Linked DNA regions of Caenorhabditis elegans. The protein of the gene in region 3 purifies or fractionates together with the protein of the main gene of each other region. This does not show direct contact. Each region holds a gene or a part of one and is shown on either strand. Other genes may lie near its edges. The genes, in order: bra-2, bra-1 and obr-3.

What was found.
Region 1: the proteins of obr-3 (region 3) and bra-2 purify together in Caenorhabditis elegans (affinity purification with western blotting, with the first as the bait; one study listed by BioGRID). This does not show direct contact.
Region 2: the proteins of obr-3 (region 3) and bra-1 purify together in Caenorhabditis elegans (affinity purification with western blotting, with the first as the bait; one study listed by BioGRID). This does not show direct contact.

Annotation. Positions count from the first base shown.
Region 1 is NC_003281.10:906,062-914,855, forward strand, and holds bra-2 (MYND-type domain-containing protein), read left to right. Parts: upstream 1-5,199; 5' UTR 5,200-5,216; coding exon 5,217-5,357; intron 5,358-5,402; coding exon 5,403-5,732; intron 5,733-5,784; coding exon 5,785-5,958; 3' UTR 5,959-6,182; downstream 6,183-8,794. Other genes in the region: F23H11.4 (Rho-GAP domain-containing protein), read right to left, coding at 1-143, 197-723, 866-1,050, 1,099-1,382, 1,430-1,468; crls-1 (Cardiolipin synthase (CMP-forming)), read right to left, coding at 2,348-2,518, 2,945-3,099, 3,145-3,274, 3,522-3,806; F23H11.5 (Deltamethrin resistance protein prag01 domain-containing protein), read right to left, coding at 4,057-4,137, 4,267-4,401, 4,446-4,520; idpp-13 (DUF148 domain-containing protein), read right to left, coding at 7,187-7,384, 8,136-8,384, 8,429-8,491, 8,539-8,595, 8,646-8,702.
Region 2 is NC_003284.9:13,594,543-13,603,188, reverse strand, and holds bra-1 (MYND-type domain-containing protein), read right to left. Parts: upstream 4,741-8,646; 5' UTR 4,719-4,740; coding exon 4,650-4,718; intron 4,561-4,649; coding exon 4,444-4,560; intron 4,397-4,443; coding exon 4,190-4,396; intron 3,957-4,189; coding exon 3,798-3,956; 3' UTR 3,502-3,797; downstream 1-3,501. Other genes in the region: F54B11.8 (Yippee domain-containing protein), read left to right, coding at 1-10, 59-202; F54B11.7 (CCHC-type domain-containing protein), read right to left, coding at 1,794-2,030, 2,079-2,413, 2,462-2,753; F54B11.5 (RING-type domain-containing protein), read left to right, coding at 7,122-7,210, 7,544-7,661, 7,711-7,868, 8,003-8,051, 8,429-8,620.
Region 3 is NC_003284.9:13,795,045-13,808,208, reverse strand, and holds obr-3 (PH domain-containing protein), read left to right. Parts: upstream 1-4,633; 5' UTR 4,634-4,637; coding exon 4,638-4,787; intron 4,788-5,111; coding exon 5,112-5,303; intron 5,304-5,769; coding exon 5,770-5,859; intron 5,860-5,919; coding exon 5,920-6,033; intron 6,034-6,169; coding exon 6,170-6,244; intron 6,245-6,315; coding exon 6,316-6,561; intron 6,562-7,128; coding exon 7,129-7,316; intron 7,317-7,360; coding exon 7,361-7,946; intron 7,947-8,239; exon of another isoform or gene 8,240-8,433; intron 8,434-8,486; coding exon 8,487-8,758; intron 8,759-8,811; coding exon 8,812-9,049; intron 9,050-9,263; exon of another isoform or gene 9,264-9,284; intron 9,285-9,408; coding exon 9,409-9,570; 3' UTR 9,571-9,980; downstream 9,981-13,164.

The DNA.
Region 1 (8,794 bases), on a different chromosome or scaffold from region 3:
GGAGTATCGGAAGCCATATGGCGAAACAGGTAGATGCCTTTAATATCGAATGTTCCATTACTTGGTTCTGTAGAATCTTCATCATCGTGAAAAGACAACTGCATATTGCGGAGACGGCAATGTAAACGTTTTTCTTTTTTTGACTGAAAAATTTTACATTTTCAAATTTTACTAATCTTTGAATCGTAGAACTTACACTAGTCAACGAAACAAATCCGACAAACGTAATAGAGCTTCCATCAATTTTCATTTTTCCTTCATCTCTAAAAACATCATCTGATTCTGAAGAAATAATATTGTCAGCTGATGGATAGATTGGCGGCACATTGACATATAAGTGAGTTGGTGGTGGATCTGGTGAAGAGCAGATTTCGACGACATTTTCATACCGATCACATTCGCTTTTTGTCTTTTCTTTCACGAATTGCGGCGAAACATAGAGATTTTGATGTGAATTATTTGTTGTGTTGTCCGTGTAAAACGAATCATCAAATGGATCTATGGTAGATCCGATAAACTCAGAATTATCATAATCACTTCTTCGTGGACATGGAGTGTATGGGTTTTCTTCGGAGTCTATAGATGGCCGGGAATCATCCCCTGGTATTGGGGCTGGAATGCTGGCGTTGAGATTTTCAGGACGACTCGATGAGCATGATTCATTTTCCTCTTCCTCTGTTAGCCATTCTCTCAGCTCATCACAATCTGGCGATGTGGTGGGAGCTGAAACATTCTCTTGCACAGATTTCAGGAAAGGTATAATTTTTATTAAAGGGAAATTAAATGCCTAACCATTTGGAGCAATATTATTCTCAATGTTGGTAACGATACTCAGGAGAATTTTTCTAATTAATAAGATACTTACCATTTGACGGTGAGGGCGTAATTCCAGAAATGGATCGATAAGTGTCTAGCGAGAGGTATAGAGGATTCTCCACCACACTTGAATTGTGATTTTCGTAACAATTAGTCGAGCTCGGCGATGATGTTGACGGTTCTGAATATACCGGAGTCAATGAAACGTCGATTGGGAGAGAAGGAAGAGGTCGACTGCAAAATGAGTGTTTGAGAAAGAATATTGAAAGAGCCAAAAAATACTTTAATTGAATTCGTTCGGGAATGACGGGATGCTGTTTCCATCCAGCTGGTGGAGGTGGTCTCGGAGGCGGTGGAGCATGTCTTTGTGGTGGGCTCATCGAAGTCCCCGGACTCACTTCGATAAATCCAATTCCCGGTGGATCTTGAGAAGAAATCGTCTCGTTCAAGTTTAATCGCAACTCTCCCAATACATTGCCAAAATTTTGAACAGCTGTTGAATTTGCAACGGCACGAGGTGGCTTCACAGGAGGTCTTGGAGGCAACGTTGGTTCAGGGGACGATGGCTGGAAATGAAAATGTTTCGATTTTATTTAAAAAAATCAATGAAAACCTCAAATTTTGTCCTTGGTTTCGGCACTGGTGTTTCCATTAAAACGGTTCTGAAAGAGGAAATACCGATTTTCAAGAGGAAAGAGACAACTATGAACAATGTTGAGTCATAAAATAAATAAACAGAAAAAAAATTAAGATGAAACTGCAAGAAAGAGAGTGGAAAAACCGAATTCTTATATCATTAAAGTAAACAAGGAGTTGTGTGCTTTCCAGCTATAAACTTATTTTGGGCGAAATTAAAGTTAATCTTTTTAGAAAAAAATGGCATGAAAAATGTTTTGGTTTTTTTAAAATTCAAGTTTTGCAACCTAGCTGAAAGCTTAAATGATTATTTAATTAAATTTTTGTTTTCAAAACTTTTCGGTGGTTACAAAAACAGTTCTATGGGCGAATCTGATAGGATCTTATCTCGGTCAAAAAAGCAAGAAATTTTCAAAAAAGATTCCAAGTCAATCAAACGTCACATGGAATGTTTTATAGACTAAGCTTAGACCTAGGGTAAAGTCAAAACCTTTCTCTGTGAGAAAATAATTGATTAATTAACGCAAATTGAATTCGTGAGAAAAAGAGTATGTCACTTTCACGGTGAAACTGTTTCTTGGTTGGACATTACAGTGACTCAGGAAAGAAAGATACCCAGAGAGCACTGTGTACACGAAGGAGTGTGAAGATCAGCAGACACGCAGATATCCCAACAAAAGAAAATAGACGATGTGTGAGGCAGAGAAAGAAAAACAAAGAATGAGTCATCACACGAACATAGTCGATTTAAACTAACAATTGAAGAAAGATGGATGGGTTATAGAACCGCGTGAAATAAAAATGAGATTTAAACAATAAGTACAAATTCATATATTCTCGTGTAAAAATGATTGACAAACGAGGAGGATCACAGTCTAGCGAAAACATATAATAATTAAATTTTTTTGATGGCCTTCCCACTGGCATACTGTAGTCCCGAGTAGATTGTGGTGAATCCTGTGATACAGCCGAGACCAACTATGACATCATTGGCACCTGTGGAGAAGTCAAAAACTGGAGAGGAGAGCGAAAGTGCAACAAGTGTTATTTGAAGTACTGTGTTGATCTGGAAAGGGAAAAATAGAGTATCCGGTCCTAACAACACGACGAAATTTTGTTAAATACAAAATGGTGAGCTTTTTTAAAAAAGTAGTTTAACACTTTCAACTGCGGAATTTTCATCGACATTTCATAAATTTTTTTTGTCACGAATTCGTACAAATATTCGTTGAAAATGCATGTGTTGTAATTTTTTTATTCAAGTTTTTTCAAAACAAATAAATATATTTTAACCCAAAAACTATATAAATCAATAGTTCGATGGAAATTCAGCATCAACAGAAGTTTGAAACTACAGTACCCTTTGAAATATAACCACAAAAATTTGTTTAAAATTCGACACATTATAATGCATTAAGTATATTTATTGACTGTTCAAAACCAATACCATGTTCGTGCCACCAGCAATACATTTTGAACAAAATAAGCCTACCTTGCTCATCATTGTTGGTACAACTTGCATAGATGATACTTGTGGATTAAAGAATCTACTGAGGGAATATGGTGGACTCATCACTTGATACCGTTTATAAAAACCACCTCCAATGAGACAAATGTCACGCAAAATGACAACAGACGTGAGGGGTACTGAAAAACTCGCTTAATTTAAAGTTTTTCGGCCGAATTGTTTACGTGGAATGAGCCCAGCATAAGTCATTGTGATGAACATTGTTGAAATGAGAAGTTTATCAGCGACAGGATCAAGCACGGAGCCAAGCAGTGATTTTTGACCGGGTACGTTGCGAGCGATGAAGCCGTCTAGCTGAAATTTATTGACTTCCAAAAAGATTTCTTGGCAAAACACCAAAAATTTAAATTTTCAAATGGTTCTGTGAAGGAAATATGAAATAATTTGTTTTTCAGTGATTTTTCCCGAGAAAATTGAACATTTTTCGAAATTTGTCCGCATATTTAGGGTTTTTTCTCATTGAACATTTGTCATTTTTGGTTGTTTTTTCGACAATAAATCAAGAACTGTTTGATTTTCTCTGAAAAAAAAAGAGATTTACCAAGTCCGTTGCTCCGGCGACTGTAAAAAGCACGAAAGCAGGAGTAAAATTGTGTTGAACAACAAGATATCCGATGAGTGGAGTCGCCGCGATTCGTGCTGTACAAATTGCATTAGGGATAGTCGCCACTTTGTATTTGCCGCGTTCTTCCGGTGGTAGTGACTCTATTTTTGGACTTTGCTTCTGCTCCAAACTTGAAAAGTTTCGTAGCATTCGACGAGGAGTTAGCAGTAGTTGAAGCTCGCAGCGGCAAGCAATACCACGAAACATCGATGTTACTATCATTTCAACACTTCCGCAGTAACATTAGCGATTCAAATCTGAATTTCAATTCAGATCTCATATGTAAATCAAGCTTTCGCAAGTACAAAAATTCGATAAAACAGTTAGACAATCGACGGAAGTGACAACAGTCAAAAATTGTTCATTTGCCACATAAGGCGAAACCACAGAAAGTTGTCACGACATATTCGGCTAAACTAAAAATTGGTGAATACAATAAAGAAATAAATCGATCATCGAGGCAAATGAGCATTTATTTGCGATTGCGATAGCTCTGTGGTGGTCTGATGGCTTCTTCGAAGGCGAAGAGGTTAGTGTAGATGGCGGTGGCGAACTGTAAAATGTTGAATTATTGAAAAAAAAAACCCCGCGACCTAGTAAATTTTTGTTTGTTTATGGAAATCCATCCTGAATCTCACTAGCAATCGTTAATGTTAATAAAAAAATATAGTAAAATACCAACCGACGAAGCGAAGAAAACCGCTGACACTGCAAGATAGGTGTTGAACTTTCCCTGGAGCTCGCCGTAGACCTTCTTGTAAGATTGGAATGGCACTGGCATCAAGTCGAAGGTGCATGGTGGTCCCGGGTTGGCGACCTGAATAAATACGCTGCTACATTGAACCGAACAATAAACAATACGTGATGTCCGTGCCCGTGACGCTTTTGTGCAAAACGACTAAGAGCCAAGAAGCGGTTGAAAGCGGTACGGTTCATCCTGAAAACAATAATTTATTTTCGAAAGTACCAAAAATTATTGTAGATGGAAAGTTGATTAAGAAAAAAGTCTGCAAACCTCAATTTATGCTAGAAAGCAGTATATTTCGAAAACCTATGTTAATGGGGTTATTCAAGTAGTGTCGGAAAATTAAAAAGTGTAGAAAAATTACGTCACAACTGTATTCAAGTATATAAAAACATGTATTTAAATACATTTGTGACGTCACAAATGTATTTAAATACATTTTGCTACATTACTTGAATAATGATTCTATGCGCAAAAATGCCGAAATGTCTATTTTAATATATTACGAGTAATTATTTTACTTAAACCACCACGGAAAAATAAGAATAATCGATAAAATAACTTTTAAAATAGGAGAGAAAACGAGCGGGCGGCCTTGAATCGATTACGCTAAACAACATGCGCACCGTTATAACGGAGTGTCGTTGACAAATATTTGTTTCTTTCTCTGTTGCGCGTACGGTAGCTCTTTGTTATTCGTTTTTCTTGCTGTGATTCAGATTTTTAAAGTGTTTTTTTGATAAAAATAATTTCAACAGTCAATTCATGTTCTTTTATACGTATTAACTGATTTATATTCTTGATAACGCCTTGAAAACTACTCTGAATACTGTAGAACGTTCTATCGATTTTTCACAACAATTTTTTCAGTTAAACCCGTGCAAAAGATGGCCGATGGGCAAGTGCATGATGAATTGATGATGGATCAGCAACAACAGCAAGGAGTGGTTCCTCAACAAGGTGATATTCACCTATCGCCGATCGACAAGGATCTCGGAGATGCGGCGTTAGAAAATAATGTGCGGCAGGTCAGTTTTCAATGAAATTCCTGTCGAAAAATCGATTATTTTCAGTATCATCTCGATGGAGTGGTCGTCAGTGAAGGGATGAAACGAATGATAATCGACCTGCAACGTCATTGGCTCAGTGAGTATCACGCGTCACGTGAGAAGTGTCTTGTAGAGCTTACCGAGAAGTTGCATCAAGAATTCATGATGGATCAACAGAAAATTCGATCGGAACTCTTACAACAGTTCAAAGACGAGTTGGAACAGACAAGAGCCGATCTAGAAAACAAACACAGAGAGAACTTGAAGATGGAAAGTGCAAAGTTGAATGAAAAGCATAAAAGAGAGTTGGTTGCATCAAGAAAGAAACAATGGTGCTGGTCGTGTGATAATGAGGTGAGTATATTTGATTCCATCTATGAAAGCAATGATATTATCCAAATCTCAGGCTATATACCATTGCTGCTGGAATACCGCATATTGCAGTGTTGAATGCCAACAGGGACATTGGCAGACTCATCGAAAGTTTTGCCGCAGAAAGAAAGGAAACAATGCTCCTGGAGCACCAAGTGTACCAGCTCCTCAACAAGTCGGAGCACCAATGCCGCCACAACAACAATAATTTTCTTTCGTTTTAACTCTCTAATCATCATTATCATCAATCTCACGTCAGAACACGAAACTGAATAAATTTCAACCACCCACCACCGCACAAATGCGACGCTGATCTCACCCACCACGTCTATTTATATTCCAAATCCTAATGAGTTTCTGTTATTCTTCATCTTTATCAATTTGTCGAACTTTCTATGTTTTCCTTGTTCAATAAAAAATTTAATTAAATTGATTTATGGATATCGTGTTAACAGATATCGAGTTAACACACGCGTCTTCATCTGCGGAAAACTTCTTTTCTAGGCCTATTAGGAAAAATGTGTGCCAAAAGTCAGAAGAAAAGTTTAGAAATGTGGAAATTCTAAAAAAAATTTTTTTCAGTATGGGTATTAGCCCAAACAATGCAAATTTTCTAAAAACACTTGTAACTTGAATAATATTGCAGTTGGAGGTACATACTTGAATAACCCCATTAAAAATAAACTTAAGCATCAAAAATTTTTGGTTTTTTTGGTTTTTCGAAAAATTCAATTTTTTGTTTTTTTGGTTTTTCAAAAAAATCAATTTTTTGTTTTTTGTTTTTTGGTCTAAAATTTTTTTGGTCCCAGCCCTGCACAGTACCACTACAGTATCCCAACAGTATCCCCCACTAACTACAACTACGTCCGTAGCAAAAGAGTAAAAAGTAGTAAAAGATCTGTGTAGGCAACTCGTAGTAAAAGAGATCACGTAGTAAAAGAGCCAACTGTAGTAAAAGATCTGAATGCGGAATTCGTAGTAAAAGAGATTCTGTAGTAAAAGAGATTACATAGTAAAAGAGATTCCGAGATATTTCGGCGCCAAAACGGTAGGAATTCTCGTGATCTCATGGTTTCTTAATACTTCTTATGAAATCTTACAATTGAATGTGTTCGTGTTTCCTAAACATCATTTACTATATATAAAGCGCGTGTCCTTCTGTCCCTATGTAGTTTGATCTCTGATCAGAGCAACGAAATTTTGGGAAACCTTATGCTAAATGCGCAGCAGACATCGATCGAGGTCCGCGATAGACACCGTATATCTAATGTGTTTTCCCAAAAAAGTCGGGGGCCGCGCCGTAGGTGCGGTCCACGGCTGGTTAACACATAAATCTTTTCGAAAACTATAGTAATCCGCTAAACTGTCACGCGTTAAAGATAAGAGACGGTCTTTGTTCAAGTTTATTCGAAATAATTATTTAAATTTATATAAAATCAAATCGTATTAATAGCCAAGTCGAATTGAAGCATCGATAGTTGTGTGGACGCCTTAGAAAGCTCGCCAGTGATTGTAGAATTCGCCAGATTTTCCATTGTTTTCGAGAAAAATAGCCGAAAAACTTGGCTTGTATCGCCTTGTAGAATCGATAAAAGTAGTTGCTGGAGATCAGAAGTTGAGAAATAAGAAGTTACCTGAATTAATAAACTTTTGAGTTTTCATTCAACTCCAAATCTCAGGTCCTGACAGGGCCTAAATTTTTCTGCTAAAATACATGCCATGACTTTGGTTGACGAATCCTACTTTCTGCGATCATTTTTTGCATTTATTAGGATGGGTCTCACCTTTTATTATTTTCAGTTTAGGTCCCTTTTGCAGTGTTTTTTTCCACTTCTACAACTTCAAAGGGGGGTCGCAATTACGGGGAATGACCTCACCACGCGCCATATTTCAAAGTTGTAGAAGTGAAAAAAATGCATTGTAATTTACTATAGACCAATGTTTTATCCAACGTCTACGCGTAGTCAACGTGTTCTTATTTTTGTTAGGGGAAGAGGCTCATTTGGTAGTGTAGTTCCTGTAGAAAAATATTCAGAAACCATGAGATTATGAGAATGCCTACCGTTTCGGCGAGCGAATATCTCGTAGCGAAGGTACCTAAACCTCTCTTTGCCACATGTTCTCTTACTTTAGCTACCACTATTTTTGCGCCAGAAAGTCTCATGAACTGATGATAGTTATGACGTCAATTTCCACCATTCAAACACAAGGACACTTTGGTTACCAAATGCTTACAGTATACTTAAACGTATGAACCTAAACTTTTACGATCGTCTCGAGATGCAATCTGCTCCGCGAGACCCCTTTCGATTAGTAATTCTACCTTCAAGATCACCAGAGTTAACATATTCCGCGTATTATAATTTTCGTTATAAACACTCCCACCGTCTGCATATCACTTTGCAACACTGCGTATTTTTTCGTCAAATCAGTCAGCTTCTGTGTCTGAAAACCATTACAGATCCACGTGGACTCCAATAACAGACGATTCAGAACTTGCTCAACTTGCATGTAATTCAATCTTGCCGCCATTGTTGCATTGTTCTGAAGTTCCTGACTAAGCTTATAGGTGCACTGAGATTCTCGAGGCGCCGGAGTCGGAAAAACAAATGGGGGAATAGTTGGCAGATTTTTCTTTAAAAAATGTTTTATTTTTTTACAGCGCACTGAAAACATACCCAAAAGTTTGGATCTAGAGTTGGTATTTGTAATGGGGGTAGAGTCGGAAGATTCAGATTTTTCTGAAATTTAAAATCGTTTTAAAATTTATAAATTTTTGCACACAAACCCAAAAGTTTGCATCAAGTGTTGGCCACTGAATAGGCGATATTGTCGGAAAATTCTTCTTAAATTATAAAAAATATGAAAAAGTGTGTCAAATTTTTTCAAACTTGCCCAAAAATCTGGATTTATTGTTGGCAAAACGATTGGCGGAATTGTCGGTAAATTATTCTAAAATTATTGTCATTGGGGGTGAAATTACGCCAAAATGCTTTTTTTTTTTACTTTTTTTGCTGGGTATTGATGTAAATCTGTTTCAGTGT
Region 2 (8,646 bases), 200 kb from region 3:
GAGTTCGATGGTAAGCTTCGAAATCGTTTGATGATGCCTACCAAGCAACAACTTCCAGTATAAAATCTCAAAGGATTCCGAGGGATACATCAATCTCGACTGCACTCAAACCGCTGCAATGTACTTGCTCAAAGGTACTTCGGTGATGACACATTTGATCCCTGTCGAGTATCAAACCGGCATCAAACTTCCCCGTCGTTAGAAGAATTTGGTAACCGCTCTGTTGATTGATTCCAGTTTTTATTATAATCTCAGTTTGCTTTTTTGTGAGGTTTCGTTTGAAAAGTTTACAATTTCTAATCGAGCTTTTCAAAATTTCAAACAAGATCGCTAATAGTGTCTGCAGTAAAAATATTGTTAAGTTGTCTTGTTTTGTATTTTGAATAAACTTTGTTTTGTTGCTTCATTTTTATGCGCTTTTGATGTATTTGGTTGAAGTTTTGACTAAACATCGGATTTGATTTAATATTTAAAAACTTCTAATTTTCTTCATACTATCATTGTATTAAACATTTTTGTTCTGAGATTATCTGAATGTGATATTTGAGAAAGAGAATGTAAGAAAAAATAAACAAAGAAGGAACCGTGGGGAACGCGAACTGGAGTATATTTCTTGTTTATTTTTGTCTACAATCAATGATAAGTGACTCCTCGCTGAGAGTGCAAATTTTGAATGTTTTGAGCCGTTTTTTGAGCCGTTTTAAGCCGTTCTCTGGCTAGTTTTACTGATTTTCAAATAGGTTCATCAGTTTTCGGACGTTCAGCCATCTTTATATAAAGACTTTTTGGAAGACACACTTTGTTGTGAGTATCTTTCGAACACTTTTTTGAAATTAAAATTAAAAATTGCTGCATCAAGAACATGTTTTTTAATAATTTTTATGTTATTTTTGATTTTCAAAATTATTGTTTGCACAAATGGACAAATCACTTCAAATTATTTAAATTTGAAAAATAAAACTTTTTTTTTCAACATGTCTGAAACATAACTAAACATAACAAGATGTCTAAAATTTTTACATCATTGACGTTTGAACTTTTTCCCGTCTAGCTTGTACCTGTTTCTTTTTGATTTTTTTTTACCCCGTCTCTTTTTAATAGTAAGTGCAAAACGAGTGTCCGCGCGCGTTGCCCATTTTTCTTTTTACAGCCTAAAAAAAATTAAAAAACAGTCTCAATATACCAAACTTTACCATTTAAAAATCCAGAATTTTCTAAATAAATAAATATACTTTTTTTTTTAAATTTTTCAGAAATTAAAAAAATGTCTTTTGAATTTCCGCAAAAATATATAAAAGTATTTATTAACGATCGAGCTCATACTGGACAACTCATATGTGGTAAATATAGTATAAGTAAGAATAATGAAAATTGAGAAGCGTAGATAAGACAAAAGCCATTATAATAGTAAAGGGCTATAAGAAATAAGAAAAATGAGATGAAATGAGGAGAAATAAGAAGAAAAATAAAGAATATCAAAAAACATTTTTCAGTTTGAATTAAAAAAGTGAGATGTGTGGAGGCCCTGTCGGATGCCTAAAAACAGTGGAACACGGGAAAAATGAATTAATGTACATAAGTTAAACAATTAACGATTGCTGTGGTTGCTGTGGTTGTGATTGCTGTGAACAGCCTAGTTGCGTTTTACAAGAGGAACATAGTTTGGGCTTCCAGCTTCTTCACGCTGTAAGTTGTTGGTTTTTGGTATTACGTTAAAAATTATTCATCCTCACCTTGTCCGACGGGCGTTTGTTGGCTCGTGGCTTGTATTGTGGCTCTTTGTACTTGGTAGATCAGAACGTGATGTTGTGACACTTCGCTTTCTGATCATTGTAAAGAGCAGCGCAATAAGGGCACTCCACGTGAGCCATGCTGCAGTTGACGTGCACATTCGCTGTGTTGCGTACTCCGGTTTCCATACATCTGATGCACATCCTACGTTTAAAGGCTTGCTCTCTGCGAGGTAGGAACCAAGAAAACTTGAGGCAGTTTTCAGTGGCATGGTTGTTTCTCTTGCACAAGTGGCAAAACTGAAATTGTAACTTTCTAGTTTCGTTTATCAACTTTTACACTGTTACCTTTGTGACCTGCTTGACCGCTGCTGATGATGGTGGAGTGACGTTAAGTGGAGCTGCTGCGGCTACACCTTGTGTGGCGACGTTGGCGTTGATGGTGGAAATTCCATTCGCTCGATGGATTTCATCCACCTTCGTAGCAATGACGTAGAGGATTCCACGCATCTCGTGTATCATCCCGTACACTTCATCAAGCTTTTCAGCATTGAGTGCTGTTGTTTCAATCTTGGAGACAGCGTTCTTGGTGTTGTTGACATCTTCTTTCACCGTATCCATATCAGTTAGAAGCTGTTTAACTGAATGGTTGATGTTGGCGATTTCGACCAGCAGATTCGAATCTAGAATTAGCGTTTTTAATGTGAGATAATTTAACTTTAATTACTAACATTTCAACTCGTCTGCCGAACCGCTATCGCTCTTGCTCAATGAAGTTTTTGGAGCTGGTTCCTTCGGCTTGGCGGGTGGAGTTGTTGGACTGACACTATTGTGTTTTTTCTTGGCCGGTTCTGTGACGTCGCTGTCATCATTAGTAGAGACGATGATTTCATCTCCAACTACATCCGATGGGCGTTGTCTCTCCGGCATTGGCTCCACCGCTGGCATGTTGGTGTCGGTGTGCTGTTGCTGTATATTGGCACTGTCGGCTGGCGCCTGATCGGCAGTTTCCTTTGGATGCATTTTCCTGTAATTAATTATTTTAGTTATGAACAGAACTTGCGTTCTACAATTTTACAAGTTTTAGTCGTACTACGACAAGATAGGTTAAGGTAATTTTTTTTTTCATCTTGCGGAGATAGGAAAAGAAAGAATTTTTCAAACAAAAAACGCTTCGAATCAAGAGGGCGAGTGTAAAAATAATTGCGATTTTTTTCCGTCAAGAAGAGTTGAAAAGCGAAAATAATGCGACAAAATTCTGAAAAAAGCCTAATTATCGGTAATTCAAAATTAATTTAGATTTACTTTACGGAAAAATTCTGAAAAATCGACAAACCTTATTTAGGAATCGGTCTGATGAATAGTAAAGCACTTACACATTATTGAGCAAGATTTACTATTATTATCGCATCGCAAGTTGTTAAACATACTCAAACGATGTTCATTTATTCACAAATCGCAATTTCTATTCGTTTCGTTGTTGAAACTCAAACAAAGTATATTTGTTGTACAATCCGTGTAAATTTCATAGCACTCCTTCTAATTTGAATTTTTGGGTGCTTTCTGAAATAGTTTTTCAGAGAAGTTTATATTCATTTTAATTGCAGAGGTTGAATAACTCTCAATTCATTATGTCAATTCATATCTTCGTTAATTGTTTACATTTATACAATACACATCGGATGTGAAAACACGTTTGATCCCCATAAGTGTCTAGGAACATTTTCATTTTGTCATCTTTCACATTTACAGTATCCAAAAGGACATGTGTATCAAAATAAACTTTATTCACATAATTTCTTGATTATTTCTCGAAGGAATTAACACAAGTTTGAGATCTCTCCGAAATTGATCCAAATTCCTAATTAACAGGATTTATATAGAAGATCTTAAAATTGTTGTTGTCATGGGATTATAGAAAAATATTGCATGTTATTGGAGAGAAGATATACAGTAGTAACACAGAAAACGGGATGTGTGATGAGATAAACTTCGAAAACCTGACACAAGCTTTGTTACTTTTCAAAGGGCCTCCGGCTCGCAGATAGCATATTATTTAAGTTTCAATCATTGTTGACTTTGAGTAGGCTCAGCAATTGGCTGAACTGGTCCTGGGGCTCCACCGTTGCTCTTCTTTCTGCGGCAGAACTTGCGATGAATCTGCCAGTGTCCTTGTTGGCATTCAACGCTGCAATAAGCAGTGTTCCAGCAGCAATGATAGATTGCCTGAAATATGATCATGATGTTTCAGGTCTAGCGTTATTAATACAGCACTGGAGCGCAAAAGAATTATTTTCATGCTCGAAAGAAAATTAGCTTACAAATAAGATATAGTACTATGAACATTGGTATCACGACTCAGACTGATGTTAGAGATTTTGAAATATCTGGCAACACTCTACATCTTTTAAATAGAGAACCCGTCTAAATCAAAAAATCATAAAATCATAAAATCTCACCTCGCTGTTGCATTGCCAGCACCACTGCTTCTTCTTAGCGACAGCAAGTTCCCTTTGGTGTTTTTCCGACAGCTTTTCAATCTCCTCCTTGAGATTCTCCGCGTGCTTCTTCTCCAGCTCTTCCTTTGTCTGGTCGAGCTCTATCTTGAACTGAACCAACAAATCGCGACGGACTCGCTCCTGATCTTCCATGAATTCTTGATGGAGCTAAAATATAGATTTCTAAAATTAAAACTTTGGGGTGGTTGACTTACTTTTTCAGTTAGAGCAACGAGAGATTTCTCGCGGCTATCGTGATAATCCGTGAGCCATTGACGCTGAAGGTCGACAATCATTCGACGCATTTTGTCATCCACGTACAAGTCGTCGAACTGTAAAGATGATTTTTTTTAATTTTTTCCCGGTGAAAAATTTTAGTGAAAGTTGTTCTGTTATATTTTTCAAAAAAAAAAGCTCTTACCGTATTTGTTCCGTTTCCATTTTCCCCATTAACTTTTGGCGATGGTCCAGCTTCAGCTTCTTCCGACATTTCTGTAAATAACTGTGTTTCTCTGGAAAAAAATTAAATCAACTAATCAAAAATAAAAACTCTCGTCAGCACCGATATAAAAAAGAAAATAACAAAAGCGTTTAAAACCCCTCAACTCCACGCAGATACAACGATGCTCCGGAATTACGGCACTCTTGGTTTACACCAGTCTGAGCAGACGGCCGTCTGCTGTCTCGAGGTAATATTCAAATGACGACCGTAGAGAGATAGCGGAGAGGTAAAGCAAAAGAGAGAGCAGAGAGAAAGGAAATGGCAGATAATGAGCCCATGAGGCGAGTCGATATGTGGTCATGAGCCGGAGGGCGTTGCGCAGTCTAATGAAAGGATAAAGAAGAGATTATTGAGAGATGGAAGGTTCTGGTCACCTGCTCACAGACTACATTTTTTGAACAGAATGCGTTGTGACGTATCTGACTTTTTGATTTACAAAACAAAGGAAGAATTTGAATTTGTGTTTGACGCACTTAAATAAATTTCCGGGTGGATATGGAAAATTTGAGAATGAATATTTGAAAAAGAAAATCAAGAAAAAATGAGTTTTTTGAAAACGTATTCTTAGAAATTTTTCTTATAATTATAAGCCTTGTTGCTGTGCGACACAGGAAAAAATTAAAATTTTAACAAAAAACTTAAACTGGGAAAATGTTTTATTACATTTTGGAAACAAAACTGAAATCTCAAAAGATTGCCCCAAAAGCTCAGATACCCTTGGTTACGTCGTAGTTAATCATAAAATTTTTATGATTCTCGTAGGCTGAAATGGTGTATTATTGAAGCTTGAAGGGCTTCGCAAAACGGGAAATGAGATTTTGTGACTAACGGAAATTAGAGCCCAGCTAGCCGAAAATTTTGAAAAATTGAATATCAAGAGAAATATGTGGAAATTCTTGTTGGAAATTTTTAGGGATAAATATTGTTTTTTAAAACAATATTCGTTTTTTACGCACCAAATAGAAAAACAGAAGGAATGTGACAGAAATGTACAGAGAGGGTTGACTGACTTTGATTATCTTCTGGTATTTTTCCAGTTTTGCAAAGATATCTTAAGAAAACAGTATTAAAATGATTTCCAGAAGTTTCAGCGTTTTAGTAACTTTTATTAAGCAAACCTGTTAGTCGCAGAAAATCTGTCATCACACGTGATCGATGATATCTTTTTTTGTGTTCGATATCCTCAACCACGAATGCTGACTGAACACGTCTGCGAGATTTTCAAAAATATCCAGAATAAATTTTGAAGTAAGCATTGAATATCGTATATTTTCCTTCCAACGCGGCAATAGATGAGGGCGGCGGTGCACATAAAAATATCGCAAAGATGAGAACCATAAAATATTGGCGCTGCAGTTTTTTTGCAATTCGTTCTCTTTTCTTGACGCCCAAATTTGTTGGATCCTATGAAACAAAACGAAGGGTAGTAATGGGTGATAATGTACAGTTCAGTTCTACAGTTCAGAGCTCGGAAAATTCGGCAAATATCGTTTTTTAATATTTGCCGTGCTTAACAAACTAGGAAAATGTGATAATTTTTTATGTCTTTTTTATGTGAGCATTTTTTCGACTGTGGATTGCAGTTGACTAGACAATTAACTAAGTTAACTAAGTTAACTAGACTATAATTGACTTCCGAAGATACTCAAGTCGGTTGGGACAATCAGTTTTTTCTGCACTGATCTGCTTGATGTATCCTAATCGGCTTCATCTTTATCTGAGTAGGTGTGCTGCAAATTTGCCGTTTGCCGGGCTCGGCAAATTTCAAAAAAGTAGATTTGCGGAACTTTCCGAGCTCGGCTAATTATGTTAGGCCGGATCGATTTTACATGACTCATTTCCGTTGTTATCAATTTTTCTATCTGCTGAACAGGTTAACAACCATATGATAAGACGCGTAATGTGCCTATGTAATCATTTATTAAAAACAGTTTTTTGTGTACGAAAAAATTTCAAATAGAGGTGCCTGATTTTTACAAGCTGGATAAAACAGATAGTTCAAAAGTGGTATGATGTATGATGACAACGTTTATAGAATGACTTACATTGTTAGATAATTCATAAAATACTAAACTTTTTGTTTTGTTAGAAAAATGTCTTTATACGTTTAATTTCCAGAATATTTCCTGCACTTTGTGTGCTTGCCTTTTTTGCATACAATTAATTTGCTCACTGTTCACGAGTGCAAGGGACTCATGCGATACGTTTTCTTATGTTTCTCTGTGTCTCTCGTTTCACTCAATTTCTCGCACTACGTTACTCCGCTCTTCCACCCTGCTCGCAGTTTATTTGAACCATTTTCCTGATGTCATGTGTTTTGCATGACTAATTCCGCATAAACATACGTTTTTCTTGTAAATTAATAGATTAAATTATAAAATATTTTTCAGGATGGGTACTAATCAATCAAAACGACATCCACGATTTCAGTCATGCACATGGGATGAATTTTTGGCCGATATTAAGGAAATGAACCGAAAGTATGTTTTTTTGTTAGAGTCAAATTTGGTTGCAATATTTATAATTCATAATTTGAAAAATCAAATATAATTTCCAAATGTTTTAATTTCCTTAATCTTTTTGAAAATACCACTATTTTTTTTATACAGCAACAATTAAAAATTTATAAATAAAAAGGCTTTCCTTAGCGGTGTTCGAAAAATAATTTGGACATAAAGTGTGAAACAATCTTTTCGCAACATTTTTTGAAGTGTTTGCTTATGAACCCTGCACCAAAGATCGGATTCCTCGGAAGTTTCCCAAACATTACGAAATATGGCGTCACGACCTTAACTAACATTTTATTCGTTCAGTTATCGCAGTCTTCTTGTCGAAAACGAGGAGTACTTGGCCTTCGCTCTCCGGAACATTGACTATCAGCGTGAAGGATATGAAAACTGGAAGTCAGAGATTAAAATTCTCTGCTGCAAGGTGAGTAGTTTCATTGTACAAATCGAACATTGAAAAAATAAATTTTCAGGTTAATCAAATGTCGAAGCAAGTGTTAAACTACAAGGAGCTGACGTTTCGCGAGTTTCTCTCCACATATGATCTACATAAGCTGATGATCACCAACAAGGAAAGCCGTAAAAGAAGCGTGGATCCCATGTCGACTAGTCAATTCATTTTGACTCAAACGTAAGTTACACGAAGAAAAAAGTATACACTGATATCGTTATATTTGGAAAGAAAATGTATTTTAATTAAGACTGTTTCGTTAGTAAATTTTAACCTTAAAATTTTTCACAGGTCACTTCAACTTTTTTTTGCAGATCGGATGTCGAGGGTAACTGCGTGATTTGTATGGAAAACATCAACGATGTAAGTTTTCAATTTCGTATTCAAAATTAATTCATTAGTGGGTCCGTACATTTTGTATTTTGGAATCTAAAACCTTGGTAGTGCTCCTCATATTTAAAAACTTTTCTTCTACTGGTTCATTAACATGAGTTTGAGAAAATATCGATCAAGATTTCGAAATGAACAATTATGAAATCCCAAACTTGTTTACTTTGGATAATTTTAAGGCATTTTTCCGCAAATTTTTATCTGTGGATTCATATCGGTAAACTCATTTGAGCTCAAGGAATATTTCCAAAGTTCCAGTTCTCATAAAGAACATATTTGAATAAAAAACTGTAAATAGTAGATACGGAGTATTGAAAAATAAAAATAAAGATATTTTATTTATTTTTCAGTTGCTTCTCCCGTGCCTCCACGCCTTTTGCATCCGATGCATCGCCAACGAAATGGAATACCGCCACGATTTCTCATGCCCGATTTGCAAGACAAAGATCAGAAACCCCATCGAATCATCTTGGGAGGTGCCAGATGCTCCAGACCAGGCTGAAGTGAACGAGTATTTGAAGGAAATCGCCCGTGAAACTTGATCTAAACTATATTCAACTAGCTCCAA
Region 3 (13,164 bases):
TTCGAAGTAAGCTTTCCAGCCTCTATATGTGTGCCACAACACATGCCACAATTCCACATTTAATAATTCACGCAAAAAATAGTAAATAACATCTGTGAGGGACAATTTAACTTGAAATATTGGTCCCATGGAACCTTGTAATCAAAGAAAAACGATTTGATTCCTGATAAGCCTTCCATTGTTTCCTGCTGCATATTTTGCCAAATCAGCTTGACTACACAGTCGAAACATCTAAAGTGCGTGCTAGGAATTTTAGTAGGAACTTGTTAAAGAGAGTTTATCAAGTTTTGGCATTACCGAGAGCACCAGGAAGCTTGAAACAGACTTGAACATCAAAGATCGGAAGAATCAGAACCAGTCTGGAGATCCCACGAGAACATTTCGTATTAATTTTTAAAGTCAAAACTGCTTATATGAACTCATTTCTAACTCAAACTTGATTTGAGCTTTGTCAAAAATTCCAAAATCTGTTGATTTTAGTAAAAATCGTGAAAAAAAACGGGGGGTCCTATAGAAGTTTCACACTGGATTTTGACGTTTTTTCCAGCGCGACCTCAGTTTTTGAGATAAACTTCTGGAAAAAAATGTATATAGGTTTTTTTCAATTTAAAAACGAATGGCATTAGCAGTTTTTCAAAAAAATTTTCGGAAGTTCCTCAAACCTTCAAATTAGGGGGGGTCCTATAGAACTTTCCCACACTGTATGAAGTGAATAATAAAACAACATGTTGAAAATTTTTTAAAACAGTTTTTCAAAGGAAAGAGCCGATAAGTTAGTCCTAATTTTCGTTTTCGCTTCACCCAAACTTGAAAATGATTTAAAACTCTGCTTATGTATTGATTTGCTCATGAAATTTGCAATTTCCCCAAGTGAAGATCCCTAGTTTTTTTTAAAATTTTTTCATAGTGTGTAATTTTTTCGAGTTTCTTTTTCAAACTACTGTTTGGAGGATATTCATCACCTTTTCTTTCTCGTCAAAAATGTGAAGTCAAAATTTTTTTACTCCAATGCTAGTTACATTTTGAAATCCTAATCCCTACTCTTACTAAAATAAATAACCAAGTTTCAACATGTTGTTTATTTCACAGTTTTATAAAAACATAACACATCATTTTCCCTCATTTTTCAAAAAAGAAAACATATTTCACGTTGAGGGAGGTTGATCAGGTGATCAAAATAAACATGTAGAGTTCACTGGTTTTTGACCTTCCAGTTTTCAAATAAAAATTTCAAGCGTTGAAATCATTTTCCCATATTCTGGTGACAAAGTCTATGAAAAAACTTGCAAAACTTATTGAAACACCTATAATAAAGCTACTGAAACATTTTGGACCAAGATCGGATAAACCGGTAAGATTTCAAAGCTGATATATTTTTCAAGTGATAGATTTATTTTTTAGAATTACTTAAAATTACTTATGTCTCAGTTTTAGAAAAAATAATAATTTAGCAATTTAATGCAAACTTATTAATAGGAAGTCAATTGTTAAACTGCAGCAGCGCTTCAAACAATTATTTGAGAAATTTTTATTTAACACACAAATTTCTATAGTTTACAATTTTTTCCTTTTTTTTTATATTCCAATTAAGATTTGATTAGTTTTATCTGCAATTTTAAGGGTTTTAGACGTGCTCCATTGCTTCAAATTTTCTGAAATCAAACTTTTATAGTTGTGTTTTATCGAGAAACGTGCGACTTCTGGGAATTTATTTAGACAATACAAAATCCAACTTCAAAAGAATCAAAATATTTTTGCTAGTTATATGTTTTTTTAATATTTACTACGAAACTTCAAGCACGTGTTTCAAAAACAATTTGTTTTTTTTACACAAAATTACTATATCTGAGCTGTTCGTTGCATTTCTGCCTTAGGGGCACTAGTCGTGACTATTTTTTGTCTGCCGAGCTGTGGCTGCAGCACCCACATATGACTTTTTTTTCAAAGAATCCGAAGATGTGTCAAGAGACGTACATAGTTATCACACTCTGGAGAAATGGAACGCAGTGCCAAACACGCATTTCCCTTTTTTGCATGCCATGGCTCTGTTTCCAGCTGAGAACTATAGTTGCTATTGAAATGAAATAAAAAGATTTTCACAAATTTATGATAGCTAAAAAAGAAAATAGTTTGAATTAGCAAGTCATCAAAACTCTTGATTTTTTTAAAATTAATATTTTTAATCCAAGTAATAGTGAGTATTAAAAAAAAACAAATCACAAAATTCTCGGCTTAAATTACAGCCCAGAGGGATCACCACCAGGCAGTGTACCTGAATCCCAGATCCGCAGTGCATAGCACTTGAAGAACGGATCGTCCTTTAATCCTTTTTAATTAATTTTTTTAAACAAAAATTTGAGACAAACACTATTTAAGAGGGTTTTCTTCTTTTTAATAAAACGTTTGTTTTACTATTTCTGAATACATCTCATTTTCGGGGAAACATGCGTAGATGCGATCCCACAAATTCAACAATATAAACTTAATAATCGCACGCGTACGAGACCTGGTTCCGGTATTTACACTCTACTTTTTTCAAAACAAGTTATTGTAGTTTTGGATTCTGAGAAAAGTTCAGGTGTTTTCTTGAAAAAAAAATGATGCGACAAGTTTTAAAAATTCGGTTTTGTTGGAATTTTTAATATTTTGAATACTTGGTACAAGTTTTTTCTTGAAATATGTTTTGTTAACAAGTTTTTAAGATGCCAAGCTTCGCAACAAGCACATTTTTTGATGTACCTTGTTTTTGAAAAATTGAAATCGGAAAAATTGAAATTTATGCTTTATACGACTTTATGCGAAAAAAAACTGCTCTTACCGAAAAATTAAAAAGATCATGGGACCATGGGGATTTCGAGTAAATAGTATTCAGAAACCATTACCTTTTGAAAAGTAGATTTTATCTAAAAACTGACAGAAAATTTTTTTTTAATTTAAGACTATAATTGAAAAAAAAGTTCATAAGTCAACTGCGAAGTCTAAAGCCTCTTATTTCACACTGCACCGGCTCTAGGTACGACCACCTAATTTGCATTTGTGTTGCTCCACCAAAATCTCCTTCGTGGCTTTTTATACGCGCGCGCGCAACAGAGAAATGTTGTCCAATTCTACTCTCTATTTTTGCCTACTTTCCCATAGCCACCGAACCGTAGAAGTACATCAACTTTCTTCTCTCTTCCTTTTCTTTTTTTTCTCGTTATAGAAATTTTATTCGTAGTCTTTTTTTTTTTTAAGTTGTTTATTCTAATTCATTTAATATTGTTTACCATCAAACAATTTTTTGAAAAATAAAATTATACAAAAAACTAGCATGAATTCAAAAAAAATTGTTTCAAAATTTTATGACTAATGCGTAACAGGTAACAAATTACATGAAAAAAAAATGAAATGGGGAAAACACAATCAAATGCTTTTTGTAGTGGGTTGTGCTTGTTTAGTAGGTGATGGTGGCTTGTCAGTTTCTGCCGTTATCACTACTCCAATTGGTTTTTTACTTTTTTTCCGGGTTTTCTCATTTCCTTTTTTGTTGGTTTCTTTTCTGTATACTAATTATGCTTGACTTCCTATTTGCGTACTTAGCTCATTAAATCAGCAGGAAGCAAAAATTAATGCTTTTTTCGTAGTAGGCTTTTGACGCGCTGACTATAGACTATTATCGTGTTGAAGAGCTGCTCTTTTTTCAAGCATGTAATTTTACAAGGACATTGAGAGTAGGAGGAGAATCGTTTTTCAAATTTCGAAAGTCTATTTCTAAGCTTTTTCATCTGCGGTTTTTTCATTCCAAAATCTTTGTGGGAAAAAAATAACTGAGTTAGCTTTTTTTGGAACGACGCATTCAGGCCATTGGAAAAAAAAAGAATTTCATTATAATATTCGAGTTCATTCATATTTTTCTTTTATTTTTTCTGAGCTCGAATATTTTTATCACGGCGCCTGATTACTTTCCCAACAAAAAAAACGTGCCTGGTTTTGAGTCTAGTGAATTTTTTTGATTTCCAATAATAAGAAATTTTAAATGCAAAATTGCGTCAGTGGGAAAAATGTTTCAAATTATCTATTTAATGCTAATCTATGTTAGGAAAAGTCAATTAACAATTTGAATTTCTATGTTTTTTATGTTTCAAAATTGTTCTAATGAGCCCGCAAGGATACTCAAAATTGTGTTTCAAAAAATAGAATTAATTGAAAATTAAATTAGGCAATTGGCTAAATCTTGACTAACAGTTTTGCAAAATGTAACACAATTAGAGTATTTTAAATGTTATTTTTTTTGCCACAATTTTAATACATTTTTACTTTAAGTTCCCTATAGCAAGACTTCAGATTCAAAAAGTCCGTCAATTTTCAAATTTTTGTAGTAGTTCAGCTTCTTGATAACGTATTAGTCATGAACGTTTTTTTTTTAAATTTTTCTGATTCTGTTTATGAAAAAAAATTTAAACAATTTTCTTTCACATATTTATTTTCTCGAAGTTTATATGCGCTGCTTCTGTTTCCCAAAACTTTTCCGCTTTCCCCCCAGTTAACCAAATAGCAACATTCCGTGAAAATGTAATATTTTCCCATGATGTTAACATTTCCTTCTTTTCCATTCTCCGTGCTCCACAAAGTTTCATTATCCCAATATCTTTCAAGGAATGTTGGAACGCCGTAAAGAGCGAAAGCTCACAATCACCTCACCAAATGAGGACATGAGAATTGTGGAGCCACCTGCTCACAAGCAGAGGCGTGCATCACTCAGTGTCGCTTATCACCGATTATTATCATTCTCGTCGTCGCCCATCAAGGTAGTGAAAGCGGACACTAAAGCTCTTGACCATTGTCTTTAGTAGAAACAGTAAAGTAGCATAGTGTTTTCTAGTGCTGTCACGAGTTTTGTACAGTGGTCACGGACAAGTATGCAAATACCTGGAATTTAGTGGGAAACATGAGAGGATTACTGATAAAAACATGAAACCTAGTATGAAATGCCTGGTGTAGCATTCTAGTTTCGAATGACCAAAAGATCAAAAAAGGCTCGCAAGGTTTGTCTTTTTTTTTTGAGTTTAAATTGAAATGAGATCAAAAATTAAAAATTTAAAACCCAATCCATATAAAATTTCGTTTTGCAGAAACAAAAAAAGGAGTATCGCGACGAGAAGAAACGCGTCAACGATGAGCTTTTGTCGGCGCTGCGCGATCCGACAGTGGTCGTCATGGCGGACACGCTCAAGATTCGCGGAGCTCTGAAACGGTGGAACCGGTATTACTGCGTGCTCAAGCCTGGACTTCTCATTTTGTACAAGCACAAAAAAGCGGACAGGGTAAGTAGTTTTATGGGCGAAAATTAGGTTAAGTGTAAATTATGTGCTGTTAAAAGTACTTTTCAAGAAATTATTTTTTCAGACATACAGGCTTCCAGACTTGAAATTGTAAATTACGGATTATATTTAATTTAATTTAATAATTGCGTCGGAATTTCTTATTTAGATTTGATCTTCAAAAAATGCGGGAGTTGAGACGCAGACATTTCATCTGATTTCGCATGGTTAAGAGCATGCTGACGTCACAATTTTTCCCGCACTTTTTGTAGATCAAACTGTAATGAGCCAGACTGATACCACGGCTATAAATTAGTTTATACTACTGTATATAAGAAACAAGTAACACTTTTTCACATTTAAACATTTTTTCTATTGTTCCCTTAAAAATTTAGCAAAACTTTAAGCTTTATTTCCAAGCAACCTACATCTGCTAAGATTTTATTTTGAGAATGCAATTTTTTTCTAGGGTGATTGGGTCGGAACAGTTCTTCTTAACCATTGCGAGCTGATTGAGAGACCGTCGAAAAAAGATGGGTTTTGCTTCAAACTGTTTCACGTAAGTTTCTTCGATTGTCTAGGTTTTCTAGGTTTGATTATGAATCTGAATCATTTTTAGCCAATGGACATGAGCATTTGGGGCAACCGTGGCCCACTTGGACAATCGTTTGGAAGCTTCACCTTAAACCCCCTGAACACATCATTTCTCATTTGCAGAGCACCCAGCGACCAGGTTAGTTCAAACTATTATTTCCAATTCTTTCTTTGTTTTTACCCCAATGAGTTCATATTTTTCTCGGCTATATTTGTTGGGCAAACATTAGCTAGCCGAAAAAAAGCATACGAACCTAAAAACGCAAATTGTTCAGGCTGGCCGATGTTGGATGGATGCTCTTGAGTTGTCATTCAAGTGCACTGGACTGCTGAAAAAGACTATGAATGAGGTAATTGGCTTTTCCGATTTCTGAAAATTTCAAAAATTTTATACAGCCTCTTGACCTTTTTCTCATTGCAGCTTGATGACAAAAATGGAGACAGCAGCATGAACGATGGTCAGAGAGATGAATCAAGAATGTCACGCGATTCCGATGGAGATGATACTCGAGAATTGGCAGTGTCAGAGACGGATGCTGAAAAGCATTTCCAAGAGATTGATGATGTCCAAGATGAAGATCATGAAGACGGAAAAATGTCAGAGACAAGTGACACTATAAGAGAGGCATTCACAGAGAGCGCATGGATTCCGAGCCCGAAAGAAGTGGTGAGTATTCATAAAAGAGCAATAATTGAAGAAAGTTAATAAAACTGTGAAGCTAGTTTTCACAAAATGTGCAACTGCAAAAATTGGCAAATGGGCATATTCTGGTTGACAAAAAATTATTGCTATAATATTTTTTGAATTGTTTATATTTTTTGAATTGTTTTTATTTAATTTTTTCATCATCTTGATCGAGAAACAAATTATTTAATCACAAAAGTAGAACAAATGGCACACGTTATAAATTTTTCAAATTGATCTGTATCGCAGCAAATAAAAATCTTTCTTTATCTGATTATCGCAAAATCAATTGTCAGTTGATGGGTGCACAAGTTCGATAGTGTTTAATTAATAGGCTGACCAAAAAAACTTTCTCAGCTTTTTTTTTGAAAAATTAAACAAACTTCCAAACTTTCCAACTGTGAAAAACTTACAAAATTGTTATAAACAACTATCAATATATTTTTTGAAATTTCATTATGAAAACCGGTGTTCCTAGGTTATTTTGAAACCATTTAGGTAATAATATCCCAACACTTTATCTTTAGTGTTTCAAATGCAAGTTTTCAGTTTGGCCCGGATGGTTCATTAACGGAAGAAGTCGGCGAAGAAAACAAGTCACTTATCTGGACACTGCTCAAGCAAATTCGCCCAGGAATGGACCTTTCCAAAGTTGTCCTCCCTACATTTATCCTCGAGCCAAGATCATTTTTGGAGAAACTTGCCGATTATTATTATCATGCCGATCTCATTTCAGAGTAAGCAATTTTGGTGTGAAAATTATTATATATTTTTGTTTCAGGGCTGTTGCAGAGCCAGACCCATTTCAGAGAATTGTCAAGGTTACCAAGTTCTTCTTGTCTGGATTTTACAAAAAACCAAAGGGACTCAAAAAGCCTTACAATCCAATTCTCGGTGAAACGTTCCGTTGTAAATGGGAACATCCAGATGGATCCACAACTTTCTACATGGCCGAACAAGTTTCTCATCACCCTCCAGTTTCATCACTTTTCATCACCAATCGAAAAGCCGGGTTCAATATCAGCGGAACGATTCTAGCCAAGAGCAAATATTACGGAAATTCACTGTCAGCTATTCTTGCCGGGAAGCTTCGTCTGACGTTGCTGAATCTTGGCGAGACATACATTGTCAACCTGCCATACGCCAATTGCAAAGGAATCATGATCGGAACCATGACTATGGAACTTGGCGGAGAGGTTAACATTGAGTGCGAGAAGACCGGCTACAGGACCACGCTGGATTTCAAGTTGAAGCCAATGCTTGGAGGAGCCTACAATCAAATTGAGGGAAGTATCAAGTACGGAAGTGATCGGTTGGCCAGTATTGAAGGTGCATGGGACGGAGTTATTAGGATAAAGGGACCAGATGTGAGTTGAATTTTTTTGTCATTACTAGATCAGGGGTCATCAATTTACGTTCGAGAATACCAGTTTTTTTCATTTGAAAATTTGGCAATTACCAAAAATTTATAAGGCTACAATTTAAGAATAAGTTAAAACTTTTGCATTTTAGTAAAAATCTTAGTCCAAAAAAAAAGAAAAATTAAAATTTAGATTAAAAAGTATAAGTTCAAAAAAGAGTTCTAGTTTTTAAAACAAAATCAATACTTTCAGCAGTTTTTTTGTTCAAGTTTTGATAGTCATTTTTCAAATTGTTTTGATTTTGATAGATGTACACTTGCTGGACTATTGAATATTACCAAAATTGCCAATCAACAAAATTTTTTTAAAGCTGGCAGTTGTAGAACTGCTAATAATTTTTGATAGCCTCTCTCTCTGATCCAGATAACAGTTGAAAAATCATGCCTGGCTATTAGTTTTTAAATCAATTTAAGATTTAAACATCTATATATAGCTTCTTCTCAAACTACGTTCACCCTCAATTTATGACTAATTTCCAATGTTCAGGGCAAGAAAGAACTTTGGAATCCCACACCAGAAGTGATCAAAACTCGGCTTCCTCGCTACGAGATTAACATGGATGAGCAAGGCGAATGGGAATCGGCTAAGCTCTGGCGCCACGTTACTGAAGCGATTTCGAACGAGGATCAGTACAAAGCTACAGAAGAAAAGACGGCTTTGGAAAACGATCAAAGAGCGCGCGCCAAATCCGGAATTCCACACGAGACAAAGTTCTTCAAAAAACAGCACGGAGATGATTATGTGTACATTCATGCCGAGTATAATTGAAAAAAAATGCAACCTTTTATTATTTTAACGCAAAACATTTCAGCTACCGCCCATGGGACAACAACAACGATATTCAACAAATTGAGAACAACTACGTGGTAAAAACGATTTCGAGGCACTCCAAAAGGAAAACGGGAAACAGTGAACAGTTGGGCAGTGACAATACATCAGAGGCCAGTGAAAGCGATGAAGAAGTGATTGAGCCAAAAATTAAGAAGAAGGAAATTGTCCCAGCGAAGTCAAAACCAATCACACCGGAGGTCGCTGATGAGCGTATCAAGGTAGGTATATTGATGATAAATTTGGTCATTTGTTTAATTGTGGGTTTTTTAAATCTCAGTAGCAAAAGAAAAAATAATACAGCTCGAATTAAGTACAGAATAGAAAAAATCAAAGAAATAGGTGGAAGCTCTGTGTTCTCGGGTACTTTTTAAACATTATTCATACAGGATCCCTTATGCTTACAAAAAGTAGTGGAAGAATTATTATTTTGGCGTGGACAGCGGTTAGTTATCACTGAATGTATGAATTTTCCAACCCATATGTAACTATTTAAAAACTGTAGACAATTAACAATTGGATCATGAAAAAGCAACATCAATAGTGTATAAATACATTTTCAAAACTCTTTTTGTTTTAGGAAATGGAGCGCAAATTTGAATTGGCTATTCGCAGAATGGAAGCAGCCAACGAAAGACAATCGTCCCGAACGTTGAACGCTATCCAGTCAACTCTGCTCTTCGTTTTTGTTGTAACCTCGGTAGTTCAATCTATTTTCATGTTCTTCATGCTTCGCAAGTGATCTGTATCAAATATTAAATATTTTGACTTGTATATTAATATTATTCAATGAATTATTTGTATTTTGTTCCTGTCAATTTGCTTATTTTGCTAGTTTCGGTTCAACTCATCGTGATTTTTTGTTTTCATTTCCTCTGAATCCTAGTCCAAACTCTTTCCCTCTTTCCATTTCAACGCTACTTCTCTTTCCCCGTGCTATGCTCCAAAATTCGTTAACCCATTTCCTGCCTTTAATTTTTTCCTATTGCTTCCTCTTCTCACTATTTTGAACCATCAATATTCATCCTATGAATCTTTTTTTTTTGCCACCTCCCAAAATTTTGTGTGTAGAGTCTGTGCCAAAAAAGATGTGTAATAAACTAATCCTACTGATCTAAGAATCCTACTGATTAGGATTCTTAGAGCAAGATATTTGGGCAGCGATTTAGTCTATCCTACTTCAAAATTTTTTAACAATAACACATACAAAGTGATGTGTCGCAAAAAACATATAGGCTCACAGAATTATAGTTACTTCAGGTTTATGAACTAATTTTAGTTAAAATATGGATAGGTAATAAAAAATATAGAAGTAACAAGAAAAAACTAATTATATTATTTTTTCTTCACAAAATCTGATCTGTATCTGTTCACCCTTATTTTACAGCTGTAATTCTAGAAAACCAATCTTGTTTCCAGCGACCTTACGATCACAGATGTTTCTTGTACCACGCACTATGGTGACCCTTCCAGATACTAACAGATGTGACCTCAGATTTTTTTTAGAACTTCAGCTATACAATTTATAACAACTAAATACTGACACCTGCTAGCAGTGTCGTTCTTTTAAGATGACACCAAAATATCTGGTGTCCGACGCCAGATGCTCTACATGTTCAACACAAAAATGGCTCATTTCAGTTCTGCGCAATGCTCTGCTTTTCATTTTTCCGTTGAATTTTTTTCTAACAAAATCATTACCTATATATAAAAAAATAGTGTCCGTTTGTTAACAAGTGACGTCATAGCTTACAAAGGCAAGGCGTTATCGGCTGTTAAAGGGATATTAGTTTGGGGTTAGTAGGGGGATATGGGCGGGGTACTGTAGTAGTACTGTAGGAGTACTGTAGGAGTACGGTAGGATTACTGTAGTTTGGGAAAAATTGTGTTTTTGTCTTTTGAAGAGATATAGGTTTGAGGTTAGTAGTGGGATATGGTCGGGGTACTGCAGTAGTACTGTAGAGGTACTTTAGGAGTACTGTAGGATTACTGTAGTTTAGGAAAAATTGAGTTTTTGTCTTTTGAAGAGATATAGGTTTGGGGTTAGTGGTGGGATATGGTCGGGGTACTGTAGTAGTACTGTAGAGGTACTGTAGGAGTACTGTAGGATTACTGTAGTTTAGGAAAAATTGAGTTTTTGTCTTTTGAAGAGATATAGGTTTGGGGTTAGTGGTGGGATATGGTCGGGGTACTGTAGTAGTACTGTAGAGGTACTGTAGGAGTACTGTAGGATTACTGTAGTTTAGGAAAAATTGAGCTTTTGTCTTTTGAAGAGATATAGGTTTGCGGTTAGTAGTGGAATATGTTCGGGGTACTGTAGTAGTACTGTAGGAGTACTGTAGGAGTACGGTAGGATTACGGTAGTTTATGAAAAATTGACTTCCCGTCTTTGGAAGGGAAATTGGAAACTTCGGGAAAATTCTGAAATTATCCAGAAGGTTCTGGAAAATTCTAGAAAATTCTGGAATGTTCCAGAACCTTCTGGAAAATTCGAAAAAATTCTGGATTGTTCTAGAACCTTCTGGAAAATTTAAAAAATGTTGCTGCGATATCTTCGTGGCGAGACCCATCGTGGCGAGACCCACCGTGGTGAGACCCATCGTGGAAAGACCCATCGTGGTGAGACCCATCGTGGCGCGACCCATCGTGGCGAGACCCATCGTGGCGAGACCCATCGTGGTGAGACCCATCGTGGTGAGACCCAACGTGGTGAGACCCATCGTGGTGAGACCCGTCGTGGTGAGACCCACCGTGGTAAGGCCCAAAATTTTGGCGGGAAATTTAAATTTTCTGAGAAAAATATTTTGGCGGGAAATTTAAATTTTCTGTGAAAAATATTTTGGCGGGATATTTAAATTTTCTGAGAAAAATATTTTGGAGGGAAATTTAAATTTTCTGTGAAAAATATTTTGGCGGGAAATTTAAATTTTCTGTGAAAAATATTTTGGCGGGAAATTTAAATTTTCTGTGAAAAATATTTTGGCGGGAAATTTAAATTTTCTGTGAAAAATATTTTGGCGGGAAATTTAAATTTTCTGTGAAAAATATTTTGGCGGGAAATAAGGTTCTGGAAAATTCTAGAAAATTCTGGAATGTTCCAGAACCTTCTGGAAAATTCGAAAAAATTCTGGATTGTTCTAGAACCTTCTGGAAAATTAAAAAAATGTTGCTGCGAGATCTTCGTGGCGAGACCCACCGTGGTGAGACCCATCGTGGTGAGACCCATCGTGGAAAGACCCATCGTGGTGAGACCCATCGTGGCGAGACCCATCGTGGTGAGACCCATCGTGGTGAGACCCATCGTGGTGAGACCCATCGCGGTGAGACCCGTCGTGGTGAGACCCACCGTGGTGAGACCCAAAATTTTGGCGGGAAATTTAAATTTTCTGTGAAAAATATTTTGGCGGGAAATTTAAATTTTCTGTGAAAAATATTTTGGCGGGAAATTTAAATTTTCTGAGAAAAATATTTTGGAGGGAAATTTAAATTTTCTGTGAAAAATATTTTGGCGGGAAATTTAAATTTTCTGTGAAAAATATTTTGGCGGGAAATTTAAATTTTCTGTGAAAAATATTTTTGCGGGAAATTGAAATTTTCTGAAAATTCTAAAATTCTGGAAATCTAGAATCTTCTGGAAATTTCGAAAAAATTCTCGAATGTTCCAGAACTTTCTAGAAAAATCGAGAAAATTCTGGAATGTTCCAGAACTTTCTAGAAAAATCGAGAAAAGTCTGGAATGTTCCAGAACTTTCTAGAAAAATTGGGAAAAGTCTGGAATGTTCCAGAACTTTCTAGAAAAATCGGGAAATTTCTGGAATGTTCCAGAACTTTCTAGAAAAATCGAGAAAATTCTGGAATGTTCAGAACTTTCTAGAAAAATCGAGAAAATTCTGGAATGTTCCAGAACTTTCTAGAAAAATTGGGAAAAGTCTGGAATGTTCAAGAGCTTTCTAGAAAAATCGAGAAAATTCTGGAATGTTCCAGAACTTTCTAGAAAAATTGGGAAAAGTCTGGAATGTTCCAGAACTTTCTAGAAAAATCGAGAAAATTCTGGAATGTTCCAGAACTTTCTAGAAAAATTGGGAAAAGTCTGGAATGTTCAAGAGCTTTCTAGAAAAATCGAGAAAATTCTGGAATGTTCCAGAACTTTCTAAAAAAATCGAGAAAATTCTGGAATGTTCCAGAACTTTCTAGAAAAATCGGGAAATTTCTGGAATGTTCCAGAACTTTCTAGAAAAATCGATAAAATTCTGGAATGTTCCGAAAAATTGAGCTTAGAGCTTTAGAAGAGGTAGTTATTTGGGAGTTGATGGGGGATCAAGTCAACGTACTGTAG